Linked DNA regions of Oryctolagus cuniculus. The protein of the gene in region 2 binds, or shares a complex with, the protein of the main gene of each other region. Links are inferred from orthologs where the notes say so. Each region holds a gene or a part of one and is shown on either strand. Other genes may lie near its edges.

Region 1 (4,121 bases), on a different chromosome or scaffold from region 2:
TCCTTGGGCCCCTGCACCCACGTGGGAGACCTGGAAGAAGCTCCTGGCTCCTGGCTTCGGATTAGCGCAGCTCCAGCCTTTGCGGCCATCTGGGGAGTGAACCAGCAGATGGAAGACCTTTTTCTCTCTCTCTACCTCTCTCTGTAACTCTGTCTTTCCAATAAAATAAAATAAATCTTTTTTAAAAAGTGTCTAGAATAATTCTATACTTTAGAAGCAGTCAGCATATTAATTTAAAACTAACCAGTAATAGTTACAAATGTGGACTAACTTTTCCCCATAAAATTTTAACAGTAATCAGTCTTATATCTTGTTGCCAGAGACCCAACGTCTGGAATGCAAGTGTACACACCATCATTCCTGAGGCCACACAAAGAGGCAACAAGGCTTCTGAACATTTTTGATACGAAATTGAATACTACTCAAGGATTCCAAGATAGGTGTCAATGGTTGGTTTCAGAGGGCCCCTGAGACTGAACGCAGTTTTTTTTTTTTTTTTTTTTTTTTTTTTTTTTTTTTTTTTTTTTTTTTTTTTTTTGACAGGCAGAGTGGACAGTGAGAGAGAGAGACAGAGAGAGAAAGGTCTTCCTTTTGCCGTTGGTTCACCCTCCAATGGCCGCCGCTGCAGCCGGCGCACCGCGCTGATCCTGGCAGGAGCCAGGAGCCAGGTGCTTTTCCTGGTCTCCCATGGGGTGCAGGGCCCAAGCACCTGGGCCATCCTCCACTGCACTCCCTGGCCATAGCAGAGAGCTGGCCTGGAAGAGGGGCAACCGGGACAGAATCCGGCGCCCCAACCGGGACTAGAACCCGGTGTGCCGGCGCCGCAAGGTGGAGGATTAGCCTATTGAGCCACGGCGCCGGCCTTGAACGCAGTTTTATGCGTAATGTCTGTTACTTTTTTTCTCGGGACAGTGTCCACATATTTCATTATATTCTGGAAGGTGTCAGCAGCCTAGAAAAGGTTAAAAATTATTTCATTTATTCCATGTCAAATATAAAATCCTAACATAAGGTACCTCAAAAATGACAGAAGATAAATAATAGCTAGACACATCTTTGTAATCATTCAGTTCATTCAATGAATAGCGAACATGTGTGACTCTCAACACCTAAGCATATTTAAAGAAGGCAATTCAAAATACCAAGGAATCAACAGAAGATTCACTGAAACACCACATTAAAAAATAATATCAGAAAGAATTTCAGAAAAAAAGCACTACAGGAAAGCATAATAAAGACAGAGGAGGAGTCTGGGGCCTAATTCAGGGCTTATTGTGTCAAAGTATCACATAAATCAACTACATCAAAAGAAAAGCAACACTACACACCGGCATGCCCACCCCCACACATTCAGACAGGAAACCCAAAGAAAGTTTCCAAATCCTGTTTCCAACAGCATCTTTTCTGAGACTGCCCTTCGGCATGTTTTTGAAGGTAGGAGTCCTTCAAAAAAGTTAAGTGCAAGCGCTGATACTTCATTCTTACTGTAAAAAACCAAACCCACACAGAATCACCATCTGTCACCCCCAAATCGGAAAACAGTGGCTACCTGTGGCCCATGAACCTACTGCCTTGTTGGTGCACTTTATTTCTTACACCCTCCTCCTTTCAAAGCAGTACCAAAACGATTTTCCCTCCCCAAAAGGAATACATCACTCCTAAGCACAGTTCTTTTTTCAAGAGGTCAAAGGTCTCCTGCACCCTGGATTTTAGCCCGGTGATGATATCCTCCTATTCTAGGGGGGCGGGGGTGGGGTACACTGTGTCCTCTTCTCCTAGCAGTACAGAAGTGGGTTTCACAATTCAGCTGAAGACACCGTCCTAACTTCCTGAGTGAGGGGGCAAGTAACAGTGCTACCAACCCGACACTCCTGCAGAGCCTCCTCGGAAGGGAGGCGACAACCACACCGCGACCTCCCCACTAACGACATCGGGGCCAGAAGCCGAGACCCAGGCGAAGCCAAGGCTGACAAGAAGAACACATGGCACGCTACAGGAGACAGGGGTGAAAGAGGGCGGGAAAGGGGCTGGGAGGCGCCCTGGGACGTAGAAACGTCAGCCCCATCCACTTGGGGTGGTGGTGAGGGGAGATCGAGGAAGGAAAGGCAGTCCCTGAACCCCTGACAAGTGGACAGGAGCGGGGCAGAACGCCCGTAAGTCTCCGGCAGGGGACGGACGACAGAAAATGTGCCCGAGCCTCCAAGTGCCTCCTCGCGTGCGCCTCCGAGGGGAGCCGGGTCTGCAAGGAAGCCCTAACCCTAGTCAGAGAACATGCAAGAGAAGGAAGAAGGCAGCGAAGTGCAATCTTCCGCACCTCTCAGCAGCGAGGGGCGAGGACACCATGTCCGGGGAGACGCGCGAGGGAAATGGGTTTGTGCCATGACACCTCGGGGAGTTGGAGGGTGGGGGACACAATGTCCTCTTTCTCTCCCACACCCGGCCCGGGCCCCTCCCGTCCGTCTCCCGCAGGCCCAGCCACAGTCGACCGGCTCGGTCCGCGGGCGTGGTTGGCTCTGGCCCTGGCGGCGGCGGCCGGGCCTCCCGAGCTCCGGCCCCTCCCGCCGGCCAGGCCCCCGGGCCGCCGCCCCGGACACGGAGCGAACGCTGAGCAGGAAGGGGGAGCCAGGGACTGACCGGCGACATGAGCCGCCCCTGCCCCGGCCCGGCCGACCCGCGCCCCCTGCTCCCTCAAGGGCTCGCTGGGGCTCCCCGCCCCTCACTCACCCCCCCGGTCCGGCGCCTCCTCCACCTCCTCCTCCTCCTCCTCCCTCCTCTCGGCCGTGGCTCCGGCTCTGCGCGGCGACGGCGGCGGCGGCCTCGGGAGCGGCGGCGGCGGCGCCTCCAGAACGCGCACGCACGCAGGACGCATGTCCCGCCCCCTTAGTTCCGCCCCGCCTCTCCGGGTCGGCGTCGGCCAGGCTTTGGTCCCGCCTTCCCTGGTGGGAGGGGGGAAATCCGGAGTCCGCTTAAAGGAGCCGCTGCTCAGGAAAGGGTAGGGAGAGCGGACGACTGCTGGGAAAGCGCGCGGAGTTTCACATTTGCAGAGGAGCCGGATATGAAATGAGGACGGCTGTAAAGGTTCAGGAGGAACAGAAATTGGAGAGAACGCAACCATGCCACAAGTACTAACTGAGCAGCAGTTAGATGCCGGGCAGTGCCCTAGGCGGAGCGGATAAAGCAAAGGCTGGCTTGGAGCTTGCCGTCTAGTGGATTGGGAGAGGGAGACAGAAGACACAGCAGTGACCGCAACTGCAGGCAGTCTTAAGTGGTGTGGGGCAAGTGGAGCAGCGGGTAGGGTGGATGTTGGGTCAGATACTGCCTCTCTTGGGAGACCTCTGAGCACATACAGACTTGATGGAATGAACCCTGCAAACCTGAGTTGGGGGATGGCCGGGGGTGGAGCACCTGGGGCTTAAATAAGGCAATCAGCCACACTTGCAGAGGTAGGATGTGCCTGCCCTGTGGGCAGGAGCAGTTAGAAGCCAGCAGCGAGGCTCAGTGCAGTGGGCAAGGGGCCAGACCCTGCGGGGCAACGGGAAGCCATGGAGGAGGGTGAGCTACGGTTCGGATTTTTAAAAGTTAATCTTGCTGATGTGTGTAAAGCACACAACAGAGAACACGAAAGTCTGCAGGAGGCTACCGAGGAAGTGAGGTGGTTGGTGGTAGCTTGCCCTAGGATGGCCTTAGTGGGTGTGGTGAGAACAGCGCTATTTATTTTTTAAAATAATTTTGTGTTTTTAAAAATGTGCTAGTTGCTTATTTTATTTGAAAGGCAGAATGAAAGAGACAGAGAGAGATCTTCCACCCACTGATTTACTCCCCAAATGCCTGCAACAGATTCTCCTGAGCCAGGCCTCCAAGTTAGGAGTCTGGAGCTCAATTTAGGTCACCCACATGAGTGACAGGGACTCGAGCACTTGAGCCATCGCCTGCTTCTGCAGGATGTGCATTAGAGGAAGCTGGAGTTGGGACTGGCGCTGAGACTTGAACCCAGGCTCTCCTCCCAATATGGGATGCAGGTGTCCCAAAGTGTCATGAGAAACGCCCACCCAAATCTTACTTAGGCACACACTTTCACGGGCATTGACTTGGACTTGGGGGACAGTGTGTGAGGAAGCAAA
Region 2 (2,929 bases):
CTCCTGAAGTAGTACAAGTACTGGACAGGCAGCCAAGTTCAAGGCAGGGCCTCCAGCCAGAGTCGTCCATGCAAACCAAGTCCCCACTCTCACCCACTGGCTCGTGCCCACCAGAGTAATTACATCAAGGGCTTCAAACATACACACATACTTAGACAAGGTGAAGTTCGCACTGAAGCCAGCTGTTCGTTCTTACCTGGCTTTGATGTGAACTCTGAAAACTTGAGGGCATCCAGAAGGTTCTGGTTAGCAGTGGTCCTGAACAGGCGCGAGGGCAATCAGCTGTTGACATTTGAAGCACACAGAACCTTCTGAGTCAGAGCAAACCCACCCCAGGCCTGCATTTAGCTGTTTGTGTTAAAAGCTAGATACCAAATACACTGTAAAATCCATTAAAGTGTGGGTAGAAGATCTCTTCCCGGAGTTTAGAGTGCTTTTTGCTCGGTGCACATAGCTGACTCTTCACTAGGGATGGTAAAGAACACAGACAAGAGCTCCTGAGGCTTGAGCTCTGCTCCGGGAGGGAGTGAACGAGGGGAGAATTCCAGCTACGCGTTCTCAGCGTTACTTTAAAAAAGGAGGTAACAGCCATTAAAGCTAAATTTAATTTATTTTATTAAAATAACATAATTGAGGAACCATCAGATAACTGTATTTTGTCAGGCGCAATAAAAACAAAATTAAAACCCAAATCATCAAGAAAACCTCTTATTACTGGCTTCCTTGCATACACAATGATATGAGTCGAGACAAGGCTGGCTGTGCAGCCCGCCCCATAGGGGCAGCTCCTGGAAGACGAAATTCAGCATGACGGAAGACTGCTCCCTGAGAGGGTGGAGATGGGGAGGGCCTTGCTCGGAAAGCCGTCCCAGCGCGCTGGGCCCGCAGGGGCTGTCCCCAGTCACCTCCCGTAGTACCGAAGCAGCTCCTCCGGGCAGTCCTGGGCTGTCTGGTGCAGTATGTGCAAACTGGGCTGCACCAGCTCTGACGGAGTCCCTGCTGCGAGCCGCATTCCTCTCAGGAGCGGATGGCACCTCCCGTGCATCCTCCCACCAGAGGGCTGGCCGGCTGCCTTGACTTCCCCTTGGAGTAAGCTTCCTCTCTCAAGACGACTCACTGAGCTGACAGCGCGGCCGCCTCCTGTATTGCCATCTGTATCTACTAATGCAGCCGGAGAAGGCTGGGCTCTGCGCGCTCCCGAGAACGAGGGGGCGAGCAGGACAGGCCAGCATGGTGAATGGCTTCCTTCTCCCAGGGCCAGAAAGGGTAGAAAAGAAGGCAACGTGAAGTGAAGGCCCAGTGAGTAGTCTCGAAGGTCCTTAGCAGCAGCAGCTTCTCTGAAAACATGCGCTCTGCGCCCAAGAAAGGGAGCAGAGAAGTGGTGCCTGCGGACGTCCCTACCTGCCCGGCTGCCTGAGCGCAGGTGCAGTCACTAGAAGACGGGCAGTCTCGGGGACGTGGTCAGCGTGCAAGCATTGATGTCCTCAGTGTGGGCTGCCCGGTGGAGGGATGGCTCAGAGGCGCTCCGGTTGATCTTCGGCAGAGAGTGCTGGAGCAGCTCGATGGAGGACAGGATCTGAAATGGGGGGGGGGGGGGGGGGCTTGTGCTCGCTCAGCTGCAGCCCCCCTCCCCTGCCCACGGAAGACTCCCCCTCCCCTCCCCCACCGCACTGCAGGGCACCAACACCTGCTTTGATCAGGGCCAGCACTCTAGCTACAAGGCTCACCTGGGGGAAAAGAGGCCTCTCCTCCTTAACTTTCTTCACGCAGTCAGCCACCAGCCTCTTCATGGCTTTCGGGCAGTTCTTGTAGAGCTTGCTGAGATCCGGGGAGGCATAGCCCCGGCCCACCATGAAGATGATCTAGGGAACAGGATGTAACACCTCTAACCCTGCTGCTGCTTAGGCCTGACAGGAGGCCCAGGCTCCCACGAGTGAGCGAGCCAGTGCAGCCTCACCTGATCCCGGTTGTTGATGTGGGAGTAGGGAAGCTCCCCTGTCATCAGCTCGTACAACACGATGCCGTACGAGTAGACGTCAGACTGGAAGCTGAAGGGGTTGTTATCCTGCATTCGGATCACCTCTGGAGCCTACAGGGACAAAGCCATCAGTCACCCCGAGAGAGTTCCCCCAGCCATCCGGGGCCCAGGCCATCCCACTCGTAACCCCTAGACAGCTCTTCCCCAGCGGACTGCCGCCTCTCAAACAGGGGCCGAAGCAGCTCCGGAATCCTGGTCTCTGACCAGGGCCCGCACAGCTTGTGCCAGCTTGCTCAGTGCTGTCCACGCCCAGCTGCAGAATGGCTCGTCTCCCGTTCCTCATTCCTTAGACTGCCCCAGGCTGTCCAACTCTAGGGGTCACCTGGCCTTAGGGCATTTGCAGACAACCACGGAGCGGTGCTCTCGCCCTGCACTGCCCGTGGGAGCCCAGATTGCTCACCATCCACAGGACGGAGCCGGTAGGTTGTTCGACCTGCTGGGAACCACTCCACCGTGATTTTACTGTTGCCAAACCGAAATCTCCAATTTTCACCGTTAGGCCTTCATGGAGGAATATATCTCAAGGCCTGTTAAGGACTCTGACTTCACAGGGATGGTCAAGTTTACTCTGCAGAACTTCCCAAAGTCCTTGAGAGCACACTAGCCTCTCCCCTCATCCCAGACTTACCTGCACCGAATTTTCTAGGTTTCTGAAATTAGAACTATTTCTCAAGTATTTGAAATTCCCACTTGCAGGAAGCAGACAGAAGTTTCCCTGGGCTGCCCTGTCCCTTTCCCATGTCTAGGTGCGGTCTCTGGGCATGTGACCGTCCCACGTGATAGAGGTGCCTCAAACCAACACTGCACAGGCCATGTTTCTGGGTTGCTAAGAGGACGGCGTGCCTGCATTCTGTCCCCAAAGGATCAAATGAAATGTGAGTGTTAACAAAA

What was found.
Region 1: the proteins of RAF1 (region 2) and RAP1A are in contact, whole or in part, in a crystal structure (PDB 3KUC), measured with the Homo sapiens proteins. The link is inferred for Oryctolagus cuniculus from reciprocal best matches to the Homo sapiens genes RAF1 and RAP1A. Residues at the interface, in NP_001341619.1 of Homo sapiens: Thr57, Arg59, Asn64, Lys65, Gln66, Arg67, Thr68, Val69, Val70, Lys84, Lys87, Val88, Arg89, Gly90; in NP_001010935.1 of Homo sapiens: Val21, Gln25, Ile27, Val29, Asp33, Pro34, Ile36, Glu37, Asp38, Ser39, Tyr40, Arg41.

The regions. Positions count from the first base shown.
Region 1 is NC_091438.1:58,749,150-58,753,270, forward strand, and holds the start of RAP1A (ras-related protein Rap-1A), read right to left. Parts: upstream 2,876-4,121; 5' UTR 2,725-2,875; intron 1-2,724. UniProt on the Homo sapiens protein: Counteracts the mitogenic function of Ras, at least partly because it can interact with Ras GAPs and RAF in a competitive manner. Together with ITGB1BP1, regulates KRIT1 localization to microtubules and membranes.
Region 2 is NC_091441.1:114,681,228-114,684,156, reverse strand, and holds the end of RAF1 (RAF proto-oncogene serine/threonine-protein kinase), read right to left. Parts: intron 2,558-2,929; coding exon 2,439-2,557; intron 2,090-2,438; coding exon 1,958-2,089; intron 1,863-1,957; coding exon 1,728-1,862; intron 1,577-1,727; coding exon 1,433-1,576; 3' UTR 592-1,432; downstream 1-591. UniProt on the Homo sapiens protein: Serine/threonine-protein kinase that acts as a regulatory link between the membrane-associated Ras GTPases and the MAPK/ERK cascade, and this critical regulatory link functions as a switch determining cell fate decisions including proliferation, differentiation, apoptosis, survival and oncogenic transformation.